2 linked regions of the Drosophila melanogaster genome follow. The gene in region 2 interacts genetically with the main gene of each other region. Each region holds a gene or a part of one and is shown on either strand. Other genes may lie near its edges.

What was found. Genes that interact genetically often act in the same process or in processes that back each other up.
Region 1: of bip1 (region 2) and Adgf-A, changing one suppresses a phenotype caused by changing the other (phenotypic suppression), as found in Drosophila melanogaster (one study listed by BioGRID).

What each region holds. Positions count from the first base shown.
Region 1 is NT_037436.4:17,760,330-17,768,915, forward strand, and holds the start of Adgf-A (adenosine deaminase-related growth factor A), read right to left. Parts: upstream 3,830-8,586; 5' UTR 3,733-3,829; intron 2,576-3,732; exon of another isoform or gene 2,377-2,575; coding exon of another isoform or gene 2,272-2,376; intron 2,137-2,271; coding exon of another isoform or gene 1,709-2,136; intron 1,643-1,708; coding exon of another isoform or gene 1,570-1,642; intron 1,518-1,569; coding exon of another isoform or gene 1,266-1,517; intron 1,128-1,265; coding exon of another isoform or gene 1,032-1,127; intron 933-1,031; coding exon of another isoform or gene 873-932; intron 813-872; coding exon of another isoform or gene 705-812; intron 647-704; coding exon of another isoform or gene 392-646; intron 332-391; coding exon of another isoform or gene 299-331; intron 246-298; coding exon of another isoform or gene 72-245; intron 18-71; coding exon of another isoform or gene 1-17. Other genes in the region: CG32181 (uncharacterized protein), read left to right, coding at 1-17, 72-245, 299-331, 392-646, 705-812, 873-932, 1,032-1,127, 1,266-1,517 and 3 more.
Region 2 is NT_037436.4:8,054,130-8,062,715, forward strand, and holds bip1 (bip1), read right to left. Parts: upstream 4,585-8,586; 5' UTR 4,332-4,584; intron 3,965-4,331; exon of another isoform or gene 3,918-3,964; coding exon 3,751-3,917; exon of another isoform or gene 3,372-3,750; intron 2,247-3,371; exon of another isoform or gene 2,180-2,246; intron 2,080-2,179; exon of another isoform or gene 2,045-2,079; coding exon 1,747-2,044; exon of another isoform or gene 1,672-1,746; intron 1,311-1,671; coding exon 516-1,310; 3' UTR 204-515; downstream 1-203.

The DNA of each region.
Region 1 (8,586 bases), 9.7 Mb from region 2:
ACAAGGACGATGAATATGTGCGTATGATTTCGTAATTCAAAACTCTTGTTACGCGAATATTTAAATTTTAGCAATGTTGCAACATGCCGGAGTGCCCGAATAATAGCATACCCCTTCAGATTCCGAAAAATTCTTTACCTCGCTTTCAACCTCTAGTCAACGTATCTCAACATTCCCGATCCCATAGCTTCCCCAGGCAAAATTACAGAAATAATAAGACTAGTCATCATAATTCCACCCACAACGTAAGTGACTAAACTAAAAGACTTAAGCCATTGTGAAAATTATGAAATTTCAGCACTCGGACAAAAGGATCAAACCGCAAACACCGGTATGTTTAAAAGTAAATAAATTTATTCGTAAATTGCTATTTAAATACTTATACCGAAAGTGCGAGTTAAAAGTACCGAGCGGAAACCGTTGTCCCACCGATCAGAGCAGTAATCATGATACGGCTACTGGCTGCAGAAATAACACCTCAATCGATTGGAATAATAGCTCTCAAGTTGGCATGAACTATGGCGAGTTTCAAAGACGCCAATTGCTGTTGCAAAAAATTCAACAGCAGCAATATCAGCAACAGCAAGCTAGACAGCAGAATCAAGCGAATTTATCTTGGTTGGAAGATGAAGATCCCATTGAATTTGTAAGTTATCGAAATCCGAAATCTCTAAGTCTATGCAATTTTTAAACACTTCAAACAGGCACCTGATCTCAATAGCACGAGAATAAATCAAGATGATCGTCACCAGCAATCCCGCCTGCAACCAAACTCAATTTGTCAGAAATGCAACTCTCGCCAGCAACAAAGTGTATGTAAAAAAATTATTTGTATTTACTAATTTTAAATATTTTTGTATACTTTCAAAAAGGCGTCACGATCAATTCTTGAGTGCGATCAAACACCAGAAATGGTGCGTAATCAAACGAAGGTATGTTACCATATCCAATGTTGCCAAATTCATGATATTTAATATCAGTATTCTAATATAACATTGTTACAAATTTGTTCATTTCTCTTTAAAATCCAGTACGAAACCAAAACTAATGAAACAAGTTATCTTCAGCCACCAGAGACTTTGCGAAACGCTAGATGTAAACCACAGGCGAACCAGAGTCTCAGAAACGTAAGTTTAATTATGCCAGCAGTTGCGAACTTTATTCAAAAGTTGGGGTTTTTGAATGTGGTGTTTAAAAGCCTCATGAAAAACAATAGATCAAAATCATAATTTTAAACCCCTTTCTTTATTAATGCACAATATAAGCAGTCGCAAGATATTTGCCAAGATGTCTCTATGAATCAGATATCCAATTGTGAGCAATCTATGAGTAAGAATACAAAATATTACTCGGATCCCCCCGAAAGTCAATATAGTTGCTGTAGTCGTGGCTCTACTGCCTGTGACAGAAGTATGAAAGATAGTCAAAACTATGCCTGTTGTGCAAACACGTCTGCCTCCGGAAATCAAAGACTTTTGGAAATGTCTCAAGTAATGTCAGGGAGGTCGTGCTCGACTGTAAGTTCATAATTTACGTGGTAGCCATGTGAAGTAATCCTTGTTTTGATAGCCAACTTCGCTGGAGAAAACTAAGCGAAATTCTTCCTTGCGAGGACGTTCAATGCGAGTGCCCGTTCAAACACGTAGGTTGTGTATAATTAAATTAATTTAATTAATTATAATTTATTATTATTAAATCTCTCTAAAAGCTGAGGATCGTTTGGTTGAGCGCATTCAGAACGAATATCACGAAACCTTTGTAAATGATCCCTATTGTCCTGGCGTTATACAAGCCAGTCTCGATGGAAGTGAGAATTTCAACGAGTACTCCAGGGAGATTGCTTTTGCAGGACCCATTCCGGAGAAACCATATCCGGTGGATCCTGTCACCATGATAGAAGCAATCAAGTTGCGCATCGACCACGAGCGCAAAGAGATACGCAAAGAAAAGAATCGAAGTGAGGAGGGAAATAGAGATTTGAGAAATCAATCAAAAGAGCGCAGGTCAAGGCGTCCACGGACAACAATCAGTGAGGAAATTGATTCTCATTTTAGTCCGAAAATTAAGTCGGAAGTCAATAGAAGTGTGGCTGCCTTTCTGAAAGCCGAGACCGAGTATCGTACCAGTTTCGAAAGAGTGAGTACTATTATATTTTGTGTTTATAAAATGCATACACTACTTTTCATTCATTAGTCAGACAACGTAATTAAATCGTACCTCATTTACATCAAAATTCGATTTCAGTATTGAATAAAAATTTTCTATTTACAGGATTCCGCCTTTGATGCGCATATCAATCGCTTTGAAACTAATCTCTTTGATGAAAGAATTAAAGTCCATTCCTATTCAGCCACAACAACGCCCACTCATCGGTAAATTTAAACGGATTTTCAATCGGAAAAATGCATTTATGCGTCTCACTGGACTTCATTTTGCTCGGGACACAATATTTTTAATGAATGTAGTGCGTTTCGTATCAACAGAGCCAAAATATGAGTGATTTATTATTTTTTGCAACTGAACCATTCTTAATACCAACAGAAGTCACTACAATAAAGTTTCAAAAAAGTCCCCTATTAATCTAGAAATTTATCGGTCAGGGCAAGGAAGTGAATATTATAAAACCATTCACTTCCATTCGGTTCAAACTACTTCAGATTGGATCACAACTTCTGACCGATAAGGGAAAATTGTTAAGCAATTAATCAGACTTATGAATGACTTGGAAATGAGCAATCTATACACGTATAATCTTTATGGTACGGGATTCGTCAGACTCTGCATAAATAATTTAATGTTTGCTATTTATGGATCAAATGCATTGTTATACAATGTTGCGTAATTAAATAACACTGAAAACGATTAAAAACAGTAATAAATAATGCGCCTTAGCGGTAAACATTTTGCCAAAATCATCGGCGGCATAGCCGAAAAACAAACCTCACTGGAAAAAAATAAACACATTTACTAATTACTACGTAAGCTTCACATAAACTAATTGTATATTATAACACAAAAAAAAGTTTTTTCATTAGTGTGGAGTGTTAGTAACAAATGTTAGTTAACAAAAGAGATTTAAAAAATATAAATGACTAAAAATGGTTTAAAGAAAGCCGTAAAAGACCACAAAAAGAAAAATGTCTTTGGTTCGTTGAGCACAATATTGTGAATACGTACGTACATATATCACGTGTGATAACACACTCTCCGACACATTCAATTTTTTAAGAGACACAACTAAAGAGAACTAAAATTTGGACATAAAAGAAAGCTGAGTTAAAAATAAGTAATCAGCTGGTGGTTCTCAAAAACACAAAGACATCGCTGCACGCTCTTTTTTTTTAATATCTAGTGATTTTCATTCAGCAGGCTGATTTTACAACAAATAAGCAAGCATAACAAAGTGATTAAATCAAATAAACAAAATGTTAAATGGCCAATCGGTTGGAGTTTTTGTTGTTTTTAAATGGCTTAACGTGGTGAATATTCATAGATTAATTTCGCAGAGTTTGCATAAATGAATCAATTATGTGACTTTTACTCCCTTGTTTTTTATGCCCTTTGTCTTGCTTATTGTTTGCATTCAAAAATATTTATGGCGCATAATCATCAATTGAGTTTCAGCTGTATTTATCTAGTGTTTTTTGAAAATCTAAATTTCTTGGCTATCTTTAATTATACAATATTTGTATTTGATTTCAACACCATGTACATAATCAAACGAAACTTTACCACAAGCGTAGACCACACAATATGACTTAAAATTTCAGATTCCGAGCACTTCCTCGCCGCGATCTTCACGCCAAAAGTGCCTCCCAACGACTGATTCCAACGATCCAGAACTCGAACCGGAGAACCTCCCTCTATGATCCCTCGTCGGAGCGCCGACGTCGACGGCGGACTTCAATCAATCGCTCGCTGCACAATCAGCCCTTGGTTTTCTTTCTTCATGTTTTATCAGTGGGTTAGAATTAATGAGAAGGCAGCAATATCACACAATATAAAGATAAAGTTCTCGCTCCGGTTCTCTTTTTAAAACCAAGAGACCGGCCTGAAAACAAGAAAACGAGGGTCGTATTTGATGTTCTCCACATATATATACAATCAAACATATGCATACATAAAAATGGGTTTTATACAAATTATTATTAGGAAAAGCTAGCACTTATAATAAGGATATTTATTTATAATTAATATAGAACATTAGCTTATCAAATTGCTGGGGTTTCCTTAAAGCTACAAGTTCAGAATAATGTATAATACTTGTTTAATTAACCAGAAATCTTAAATTCCTTAACAAAATTAGCGGATATTTCTGTATATGTGCATATGTATTACCTATGAAATAGTATTTAATAATATGTTAATTATTTATTTGTTTTATGATAAACGAACACATTCTTAAGGTACATACATATTTTCCTCACACTTTTTTCAAATTCCATTCAAAAAAATCAATTATTCAATCAGACAATGTTCGCAAATGGTAATGTACTTATATATGCAACTTTTTTTTTGTTTTATAAACAAAACGCATTTGCTCCAGAGATGGGAAAAATAAATAAAAAGTTTGGACCACCCATCTTGCAGCAATACTCACAAAAAATTATGGAAAAGAACACAAACCTGCCCGCGCAGATAGCAATGATCTATAAAATTTTAGTGATATTTTGTCATGAAGAAGTATAAAAATTAGTTATCTGAATTCCGAAAAGTACAAACAAAAGCAGTTTTAAAATTTGAGTAGCAACATTAATTTAAATAGGTAAGTGCTTAGGAAATGGGTATCTCTTCAATACAAGCCGTTTTCCACGTTGAATACAATTAGAGTATAAATATTCGAATATTTGTGAGACATGATTTCGTTAGCGAATTTTAACACACCCCGTGCATTCATGAATCCCTTTAGAATGACTGCAGTGCAAACTGTTACTGTGTTTATAATAAAATTTCTGTGATTTGGCTTAGGTTTAAATTAATGTTCTCCCAACGAATGTGTTGCACATTGCCCAGATAGTAGAGATATATTTTTGGCTCTGCTATTTTTGGTCATGGATGTGCAAATGTTTAAATGTGTATATGGAAAGCAAATAAAATTCCAAAAGGATTACAAAACTAAGGAGGACAAAGGAGAGGTAAACACGAGCACAGGCATCCGGAGAACGAGAGTCATAAATAAATTCATAACTGCATCCCACGCAAATTTCACAGGGCAATTGCTTTGGGCCAGAATTTCCGAGTAAAGCTGATTCAGATCATGAGCACTGTCTGAGCTAATGTATGAATGGCTTTACGGTTATGGCCGGGTGTGTTTGTGAGGAATGGATTATGTGGACTTAAATGAATTTATGGCATGTGCTAATCTCGAGGGCTTAGAAACACCCATCCGCCGTGTCTATAATATAATTATAGCTATTGCATGCACTTTATGACTAATTATTTTTGAAGAACTTAAAACCAAGTGAAAGGTAGTCATCAGTACTGACTGCACTTCAATCAGCGCGTTTTTTTATTCACATTGATTAATTGTTCCGTTCGAACTTATATTTATATTTTTTGTATACGAATTTTATACAATCATCGATCAATTAAATAGCGGAATCAAGGGATGTGTGAATTTAAGAAGCTCATATTAACACAAACAAAAAAAAAAAAATAAGCAGCCCAGTTCATTTATGTTAGTAATGCGCAAATATTTGAAGAATGAATAATATTTTCTTTTAAATTACAAAACATTCGCTTTAGAATGCCTTGTAATATTTTCAAGTGTAACATATGAGCTCACTTAATTAGCACTGCGAAGTTTCACTAAGATCATAAAGTTCTTTACTTAACTCTGATTAATCTGTGATTTTTGCGGTAACCGAGATAGTATATGTTTATGCCACCAATTTGTGGCAATCGGGTCTTTGCGCAAAGCTGATACAAAATACGTTTAGTCAAATAAACAAAAGACCACCGCTATACAAAATTGTTTAGCTGTATAATTAGTGCACTCGATGATTGGCGAGTGGGTGTGGGAAAAACGGGATATTCGATGGGAACTTAACCAGCCCAGTTGCGTTGATAATGGGGTGAATTTCCAGCTTGCAACATTTTGCGGTAGTTTGTTAGATGGTGCAGCATTGGAAACGGAATTTAATTCAGTTACACGGAGAGTGCTCCTTAACCTCACTGAAATAGACCTACAATAGGGCAAGGGGTTCACGGAAGTTGATTATGCGTTGTTTTGGCACTTAATGTGATGAAATATGCAGAGAGCCATTAGCCCAGGATGGGATTGGGAAATTGTGGCGGTAAATAGTGGCAGTACACGATTGCAAAACGCACAGTGCCTGCAGTAAATTATGCAACACGATTCGCTAACTTGCTTCAATTTCGAAGCAAACATTTGGTTGCGAAGGAATAATTTCCAAATCAAGGTTTAATTTTTGTTCAGCTGCATATTTTTGTGCGCAACTGGAAAATGATTTGGATCGCAAAGTTTAAACTGGCTTCTCACAGAAATTATCGTTTCGTTTTAGCCGCAGGCAAATAGAAAACATAGAATTTTTCCAATACATACATACGCAAAAAAATAAATAGAATAAAATATTTCCTAACATATTTCGTTATAAAATAGAATCGATCGGTAGCTTAATAGTTAATTAAAATTCGAAATTGGTTTATCAAGGCGCACTATGAACCATTTTCGCACATAATCAAAAGCAGGCGAGCAATTTATGAGTGCTGTAGACAGATGTGCTCCCTCTCTTTCTTTGTTTGCTCCTCTATCTCTTTCATTTAACGTCAAAGGCAATTAGCATGCAGAACAAGTCGAAGCCATGAATGCACATCTTACGCACACACATGCCTGACATTTATGTGAAAATGCATAAATATTATCCAAATACAGTAGTACTTATGTTGGCTTAAGTGTGCATGACTGCAGAAGGTGCGCGAAATAACAGCTAAGCCAGGCATTTGCCAAATTAGTGCAGCTAAACTTATATTCTATACACCTTTTCTCTATGTTCTACGTATGTATATTATTTAATGTTTTGCTGTCAGTTATTGGCTTATAACAATGTTCCTACTGTCAGTTTGTGAAATATGAGAGGCTCATTGAACTTTTGTTAGCACACCATATAGTTTTGTGACGCACCTTCTCACATACATCCTGGCTTGCTTGCATATTTGTGCGGTGCTCCTCATTTCGAAACAATACCAACAACACCAGCAACAGAAGCGGTAATAACAGCAGCAAAAACAGCAAATAGTGCCAGCTGCAATAAGCCCGCGGCACTGCCGCCAACCGCTCCAAATGTATGCAACATTATGCGGCATGTGCACTAAACAAGTCATGAATTTCAAACAGTCGCCGGAGATCCCGCCCCCAAAATCCCCCAACCCCATCCCCTCTCCCTTGGCGACCAAAATACGCTCCTTGGTGGATTCTTTGCATGAGTAATAAATGCGGAAGGGGTACAAAATGCAACCGCAAATGGCGTGGCATGGCGGTGTGGTGCGGTGGCCTGAGTTTTCCTTCATTTTCCGCACTGACTTCTGCCATCGGCGCAAGAGACCGCGAAAATCGCTCGCCGCCTGGTTGGCACTTCCGCTTTTCATTTGCCTCATGTTTAATACATCCACGCAGATGCAAATGGCTGCAGGCGTGTGTTCGTGTGTGAGTGCCACTGGCGCAAATGCATCACCGCAAAATGCCCCAATAAGTATGCTAAGCCAGGCTCCAAATATACTCCACTGCAGTGCACTGATGCAAGCTTATCGGACTCGGAAACCCATAGATTTCAGATTGATTTGACTTGGATTTTTTTCACAATTGAGAGATATGATTAGCTTCATATACATATAGTTGGCGTGATTACAGCTTTTTAAGCAAATCCATTAAATAATAGTTTCAATTGCAGCTCGATTCACAACGCAGTCCTTAATCCATCTAAGATAAAAATTTGTAGTAAACTTAAGCAATAGAAAAAGTAACTTTCAAACGATTTTTATTTTTAATAGACAAATATTTAAATTAGGTCTACATCGCTAGCCATAAAAGTCAAATTTAGGAGGGAACTATTTTCCAATTGTGTTTTATTCATTTAATTTACTCGATGCAATCGTCAGATTCATTTGTACAGCAGCAATTAAATATTTAACAAACACATGTACTTTCATGTGATTTTCCTTTCTATTTCAATTGAAATTTCTGTGCTCTCACTAAAAGTGCATTTAATTGTTTTTTGGGGTTCTATCTGAATTTGCATATCCGAGGCAAGTTGCAAGAAATGTAAAATATCAGGCAGGTGAAAATAAAAAAAAAAATGAACTGAGCAACTCCTAATTGCGTGCTTGCTGCATGCGACAATTTGCTACCACACAGCTACAAATATGGGTAGATCTGAAATAGAATGCATGTAAAGGAGGTGTACGCGAGTGTTGGTGAATGCAACGAACCGGAAGTACGTCACACACACACACACACCCAAAACGTATACACCCGCAGAAGAGAGCGGGAAATACTCGTGAGTGAGCTGATGCGAGGACCCAGACAGCGTGTATTTAGTTTAACAGCTTCGCAGGCAGCGACATGCG
Region 2 (8,586 bases):
TAAAAAAAAAAAAGAAAGAAATATGGAAGAAGAGAAACCGTAAACAAATGCTTTCAAACTAAATAAAGTTCTTTGGAATTACAATGCAAAAAAAAAAAACCAAAAAGATAAGAAAAAAACACTAGTGTTATTAATTGTGGGTCGTGGTAATATCCCCTCGTTATATACCTTCTTATCCCAAAAATAAGACTCTTAGACGGTTTATCTTTCTGGCTTAAATCAAGCTTTCATATATTCAATATAGAAAGAAATTCAATCTTAATTCGTTTTTATGGCTCAACTTTTACAAAATCTACCCATCTCCAGGTGGGTAATATCAAATTTCTGATAAGCTTACATGTCTAAATGGGGAGCTGCTTCAGCTCTTACAATTGGCTTAGAAATTAAATTGGTTCTGCTTCAGTCTTACACAAAGTTATGAAATGCCTTTGATGTATGTATGTGTATGTACGAAAATAAAGGGAACTGCTTCACATGAAATGGAAAATAAACGCTGTGCCCGAAAATACTGATAACTAATCCTTGTTGCCGTAAATACTGTAGCTCTTCTCCACGAAGATCTGGATGGAACGCTTCACGTTCTGCTTGTGGGGCTCGGGCAGCTGTTCCAATTTGGGTAGGATTTTCATTAGGAAGCGGAAGTCGGGCGATAGATTTATGTTCGTCTCGATCTCATCCGAATTCATTGTCAGTTCCGAATTCTCGGACTTTAGGATCTTGGTATTCTGAATTGGCAGTGGCATCTGAATGGATGAAGGCACTGAGCTTGGTGTGGACGTGATCTTTGCAAAATTAGTTGGATTCTTTTTGGGCGGCAATGTTATATGTGGTCTGGGATTGTTAACCACCGGCTTGGCTTTAGTCACCACTGGAGCTGGTTTGATCTGCTTCTGTTCTTTGTCCTGTATGCGATTCAATAGCTCGGGCAGTAGTTTCTCCAAATGCTGGGTAAGATTGGTCTGCGGCTTGTCGGCCATAATCATTAGTTTCTTGCCCGCCACATCTTTATCCTGCTCCACAACCACGAACATCTTACGCTTCTTGGGCTGTCCATTTGTCTCCAGAGTCTGACCTTTCGTCTCATCCGATTTTTCGGTGATCACGTACAGTTTCCTCTTCTTGGCTTGACCGTTCTCCAAGCGGTTCAGTCCATTCTGGGAATCCTCTAAGGCTGATAGTGGTAACGAGGCTTCGTAGTCGGAGTTTATGGACAGCACATCGCTGGAGGCCGAGGAGCTAATGGAGTGGGAACGCTGTGGCATGGGCATAATGCCGGTGTTGGGCTTCTTGGCCTGATGTCTATTGGGGCTCTGCAAAAAAATGCGGTTCATTAAAATACATTTATAGTGGTATATATTTATATATGCATACAAGCAGTTTTAACCATATCTTTAAAATATGAAATTTAAAGAGAAAGAACGTTGAAGGGTTCTCTGAAATTTTAAAAGTTCAGGATCTGTCGCTATTCGTTATAAAAAATTAAACTTTTACGGAATAAATAGCTTTGTACGTATTTTTTTAAGACATGCTTGTATTGTTGTTAAACTAACTCTAATAGCATGCCCGTTTTTGGAATACCATTTAATGCTCAAATACCTATACGATTTATTTCAATTGGTTAATAAACAACGAAAATTGCGTTACGGAGTCTAAAACATAATTTCTGTCTGAACTGAAATTTAGCTTGGGTCAATTACCAACCCCTATGAAAGCTGAACTTTTGTTTTCTTTTGTGCTGCCACTCACCTCAACAAGTTCAATGGTGGTGCTGCTGGCCACCGCCGACTTGACAGCACCGCTCCCAGTTCCTGCACCTCCTCCTCCTGCTAAGGCGCCTGCAATGACCGACCCTCCAGCGGCATTAATGGGTAGCACAATGCCCTTGGAGGACGAGGACTTGCGCAGCGGCGTCATCTTGATGCGGGTTTTGGCCATCTCCTGGCGTTGGCTAAAGTGTCTGGAGCAGATGCGCAGCTTTTGGAGGCCGCCGAGTTGATCCACCAGTTTATAGCTGACGCCAAAGTGACGCAGCCAATGATTGCAGCTGCACGTAAATAAGAAAAATAAGATATAACGACTACTATTACTAACCACCGAAAGCTTAGTTCAGTACGCTTCTTTTGGAGGGGGAAAAAGCTTTTCACACATTTTCCATGTTAACGCAAAATGGAAAACATACCAATTATTGGGAGAACAAGAGTCCACGAGCTAGTTGCGATCGGTTGCGCAGTTCTTTGTTTAATGATTAAACTGACAAAATGAAACTGCATTGGAGTTTCGTTCTGGTTCTTGCGACGCTTTCAAATTAGATCCGACTTTCGCTCTCCGCTCTCTTTATCGCTCTCTCTTGGAAAAGTTCTTGAAAAAGTTTTCGCTGCAATTAAGCTCTTTTTATGCTTCTTTTGCGAGTGCGAACGAGAAGCAACGCTTTCGTACGCTCCTTCTCGCTCAGCGGAAGTTTCGCGGGGAATTGTTATTGTTTGTTGTTGCTGTTGCTTTTGCTGCAGCTTCTGCTCAACTTCCCCCTATTTTTGTTGTTTCTGCCGATTTGTGGAAGATGGGGGAATGAGGCTTATTTTCTTTTTGCCTTATGCTTATGGCTAGGCGAAACAACAACAACAATTAAGGCCTTTAGGGTGGACCGAATGCGAAATTATTGTGCAGGTCAGGGACAGCAAAATCATTTGCCTACTCATACCATATTTAATCTGACTTACTAGCCAAGTTTTAAATAAATTTTAATCGCTTGAAACCATTTTCATAAGAATGGTTTATGCTTAACTTACAAAACCAACGTACAACTGTGTGAAATTAAAATTATTGTCATAATTCACTTTAAAATTTCATACTATATCTTGAAAATTTTTAAACGGAACTCAATGACTACAGTTAGATAACCAACTATTATAATTAAACTTAGCAAACGTCATTCTTATTTCGATTTTGCTTATAAAAGTGACTTTCACTTTTTTGGTCTCAAAGTACATTTAGTGATAATACCGACGAAAGGTAAAATATGAGCTTTCCTTGATAATAAATAAAGCTTAACATTCTGGGGTTTCCTCGGAAAGAGGAAGAATTCGCTTAACAGTGGTCCACTCTAAACTCCATGGCCAATGCCAAGTAACTTTGGCAGACGGAACTCTATTTTTTTTTTTTGCGCACCAACTGCAGAAACTGGAGATGAAGAAGCAGCAAAGAAACACAAAATAACTTCACTTCACGGCCAGCAGAGCAGAGCCCCACGCGCATTTGTTGCATTTACAGGAGAGCGTGAGAGCTATAAATAAATGGGAGTCGGAATCTGGGACCTATCCCCCGCCCACCCACTGCCCCGCCCACATCGGCATTATTGCATTTCTGATTGCTGCACTGCACAAGTTCTTAGCCGCCATGGCATTGAAATATTCCTATGAAAATGATGCACTTTTATGCGAACCGAGAAAAAAACAGAGAGACAGAGACAGAGAAAGAGAGGGAGGGCGAAAGTTCAATGACCTTTGACTGCGAGTATCGGTATCGGTATCAGACGAAGAAGAGGAGCACCGAGCGGGGTCCAAAGCTTTGGATTGTTATGGCTTTAATGGTATGGTGTTTAAAATATAGAATGAGCACTTGTGATTCGCAACAAAAACAAGCTTCGGTGATCGAATCGATCGGAAAGCTCTCCGTAGGCTCTAAAAACAGGTTTAATGTGGTTCTTGGCAGGAGGAACCTACATATGTATGTATGTATGTGTATAATACTCACCGATCGGTATCGTGGACTGGAAAACGACGCAGATCATTGGGCTTTACATCCTGGCAACCCATCAGACAAATCCTGGAGGAAGGTGGCAATACTGGTTCCGGCCCATTCGCGCTAGGATTTAGCGACACAGCCTGGCAAATCCGAAGAGTGGTTATCGTATTCGTCATCTATCAAATATTATTTTAAAATTGGATAAAATCACTCATTTTAATTTAAGGTTATTGCTTCTTTTATCATTTTATTAATAAGCTCTAGTTTAGAAAACCATTAAAATAAGTACATACATATATCTTATTTATTTTCTTATTTTCTTTCTTGGAATAAAAGAAAACCTAGAGTGACCCCAAGAACTTTCGCTCTGGCGAATAAAAGCTTGCTTTGCTGCACGTAGAAAAGCACCAATAAGATGCACATCCACGGAAAAGCTTTTTTGGATAACTTGTGCTTGCCTTTCAAAGCCGCGTGGTCTTACCTTTTACAAAATACTTTGAAATTAAATATAAACATATGTACCCCACATCGCCATTATTTACCTATGCTTATCTTAGGAAAACAGATACATATGTACATAATGAACTCACCTGTCACACAAAGTCTCCTTTTCTCTGACCGGCAGTTCTGAGTTTAATAACCCCACGGCAAGAACTCTAGGTGAAAGCTTTCGGTTACGGAACTTTGAATACAATTGGCGCCGGTTTAAGCGATCGCAGCTAGATACGATTAAATGAAAAGGGCATCTATCTTCTAATTAGCGGTATGCTATGCGGCTCCGATTACGATTCTGTTACGTTCTGCATTCTATACTGCGCTACGTCACTCGTGGGAGCAGACTGTCGAAAGCTCCGCCTGCGTCACGCGAAGGCACCGCGCGAAGCTCGGTTTGGAGAGCGTCTCTCCAGCTTTGTCGAGCTTTGTGCCCATGCGTGCGAGATCTTCGCCGGAAAGCTCTGACAAATTCGGAATCAGGCTGAGATTTCAATCGCGCACAGTAAAAACTACCATTGAAGGACATTAAAAAATAGGTATTTCTTTTATGATTTATTATTTTAATGAGTCATATTTAAAATAATAGTGTTTTAAAGAATAAAGTACTGCGCAATGAATATGTATCAAATCGAAGAAAATAATACTTCAACTACTACTTAATAATATGATGTCTGCGCACCTTTCAATTACGCACCTTGTAGTTGATTGTATATAATATATTAATTGTACATTGCAATACTTAAATACCACTTAACTCTAGTTTTATATGCTTTTCGAGAAATTAGCATTTAGATAGCATTTTTGCTTATCAATTATCAATTTGTAGTGTCATAAATTTGCAACATAGCTAAGCCGCCAACTTTTCCATCCCATAATTAATTAAAAGTGTTAAAAGCTTTCCATAAATAAAGATACCAACAGCTGCAGGTGTTGCTTTGGGGCGTGCGTTCAAATGATTTTTGTACATTAATTACGGCCGCACAATTCGCGATTGGCAGCCTTCATTTGGATATTTAAAAGCCAATCAATTGGCGGTTCGACGAAGTCATAAATTTCAATGGGCGCTCATCAGACGAAGGAGGCAAGCCCCTCGAAAAAAAACAGGGGCGTCGAGCCGCAGATAAGCATCCACTTGTCACATCACTCATATTTCCAAGACGTCAATTTGCATTGTCTGTGGAAATTGCAGCCTGCAGCTTGCAGCTTCTTGCTGTCACATGCCAATTGACCCATTCGCCTGTTATGGCCAGGCCAGCCTCAATTTCTCAAGTGCTAAAGCAAATAAAACTTTAATGGCTAGTTTTACACTAGCCAAATTGTCAATTGTCGTGGCCAGTTGATTGCGTTTTACGACCGACAAACAGCAGCATAATTACGGATGGACCTGCACTGTTTTTTCCCAAGAACAATTGTGAAAACACAAACTACTGAGTGGGCCGCATTCGAAAACGCGCTCAGTCAGCATTTTAATTTCTGTCTGATTGAGCCGAATGACTCGAGCTGGCGATGAATGTAGAAGTAGAAGTGTTTGCAGGCGATGCCAGACGGCGATAATTCCCAAGGGGGCCAGGCTTGATCATCGCCTGTGTGGTCTCGCTGTATCTGTCGGTCTGCCCGACAGCCGGGGGCAATCGTTAACTGGCAGCCGATTATGTGATTGGAATATTGACAATTAGGCGGTTACAAATTGATTTACTTGTAATTTTTCTGGCGCCCCTGAGAGGGAAGCTGGCTCGTTAAAGCAATCTAATGTATGCTCCAAACAAATGGTGATCATTGTGAGGGGCAAAAAAAGTTTTAGTTGGAAAAATTAATCGTTTTGCTGAATGAAATTGGACAAAAAATCTTTGTCAGAAGTGGGATTCGAACCCACGCCTACAGAGTAGACTGCGACCTGAACGCAGCGCCTTAGACCACTCGGCCATCCTGACTCTCAAGAGCCGTAAGATCAAATTTTCTTTTGGTTGGGGACCACATACTGAAACGGTTCATTCTCAAAACTGAAAAGAAGTGTGTGTTTAGCACAAGTAAAAATAGTTTAATTGGTATTAGAAAAAAATTGTGGAAAATAGAATAAAAGAGTATTGTCAGAAGTGGGATTCGAACCCACGCCTACAGAGTAGACTGCGACCTGAACGCAGCGCCTTAGACCACTCGGCCATCCTGACTGTTAAACTAACGAGTGCCAATTTCCAGTTTGGTCAAGAGAGAGTATATTCTTGATTTAATAATTGTAAAATACTTTGGATTTTAGAAATTTTTATTTTTGTAGCTCAAAAAATAAAACGAAAAAATGGCAAAAAGTTCTTGTCAGAAGTGGGATTCGAACCCACGCCTACAGAGTAGACTGCGACCTGAACGCAGCGCCTTAGACCACTCGGCCATCCTGACATTTGTTGTTCGGGTGTCAGAAGGCCAATCCGATTCGCTGGCATTGTACTGCGGCAACATTAAGTATACGCCGTGTATTACGAATGTTTGAAAATCACACTTAACACTTTGAACTTGCTGCCCACACTCGAATGCACTCCCGATGAATTATTATAATCGGCACCCCTGAGGCAAAGACAAATTGCCGTTCGTCGCGGCATGGAAAGGTGTGTACGGACAGACAAGACACGAAATCAACATGCAGGCGATGGAAATGATAATAAAAAGCAGGCGAAATCGGGTCAACGTCATACATCACACTGTGCAGATTGGCAAGTGTCACTTTTTTTATATATTTCGATTTGTTGCCCAACAAATGACAGGCAACAAAATGGCGATATTCATCGCAAAGGTTGCTTAGGGGGAGCTGACGATCGAAACGGGAGTAATTAAGTTGTAGTTTTTCGGTTAGCCAAACTGGCAAAATGTCAACTAGCCCAAAGTGCGGACCGCTTGACATTTCACACGCAGCTGCTGTTGCTGTTACTGTTTTTGTTTATGTTGTTGCTATTTGTTTGTATATTTTTTATATATGCAGCATTTACTGGTCGCACGCACTTTCAATGCATTTCAATTAGTTGTAGCCGCAGCACAGCCGCTCCACTTTGACTTTGAGTGGCCGTACTGGACTGGATATTTTCCATTTTTACAGACTGATGGCAGACACTTGATAGGCCTGAGCGTATGTTAATCGGCCAACTCGACCTGACAGCCCAAGTTAATTAAAGTTTTCGCTCCCAACAGCCACCCAGCGTACATAATTCCCATTAATTTGCTAGTTAGCAACGCAGCCACTGCAAAGACCACCTCAATTGCAGTCGACTCATTATGATTAATGATCGGCATGTACAAGAATTGTTTGAGGACCGCGGTGACCCACAAAAGGCGACACATTTTCCAAGCGTGGCCAACTAGAAATAGAATTAGCAAATTGCCCGAATGTCAATCAAGCGTCATCAATCAAAATTTGTGCTACTGTCAACTCGATCACAATACAAATATAAATAAGCGCAGCCCAGCGGGCTGCAACAGTTGGGTGCAGCTGAAATATTTAACTGGAGGTTGTAAATTACCATAACAATTCTGAATTCGGTATTCTGGGGAGCTATGTATGTGGGTCAACCAGAGGAAAATCCCCTCCCGGCCAAAACCCCATGATATGTCAGCAGAGTTGTTAGCACAGCCGCACAAAGGTTAAACTGAGGCATTGAATGGTTTTCCAGCTTCGAACTGATGCTAATGGAGTTTGGATTAAGTTAACACCCGATTACCTTGGGCCGTCTTTCCATAAGTTCTTTAGAGCAAATCATTTAATGAAGATATTGTCTAATTTCCGAAGATTTAATCTGCTTTAGCATCAGGCGTTTGGGGGCTGGGAAAAGTGTTTAATTCACGGTGATACCAAGTGACAAATGGCTATTCCACTACAGTGGACAGCCAAACGACACGCGTTTATGGCCGCTTTGATTTATTGGGTTCTTTAATATAATTGCATTCATATTTAAATGGGGTTTTGAGCTGAGAAACAAACTAATCTGAATAGTTCAGTTTTATGGAAAATAATCGTTAAGGTTGTCGCTTTCAAAAACTAAATGATTTATAAATCAATTATTATAAATAAATTATGAACAAAACTAAAATGATGTATAAAGTTTAGAATTTGCCCATTCCACATTTCAATTAATATCCGAATCCATATGAAAATCTCCCCATAATATTTCAATTAGAGTTCTATTGATACAACTCCGTCGTGGCAATGCTCCTTTTCAAGTTCAAAGTCAAAAACAGCCAAAAAATAAATACGTATTTAAATTGAAGGAGGGGTCTAAACAAACCGAAGACTCTGTGGAGCATTAATCAATTGTGGCTCACTCTTCTTTTTGCCCTGGCTATTTTGTCGCTATACTTTTCTGCCAAATT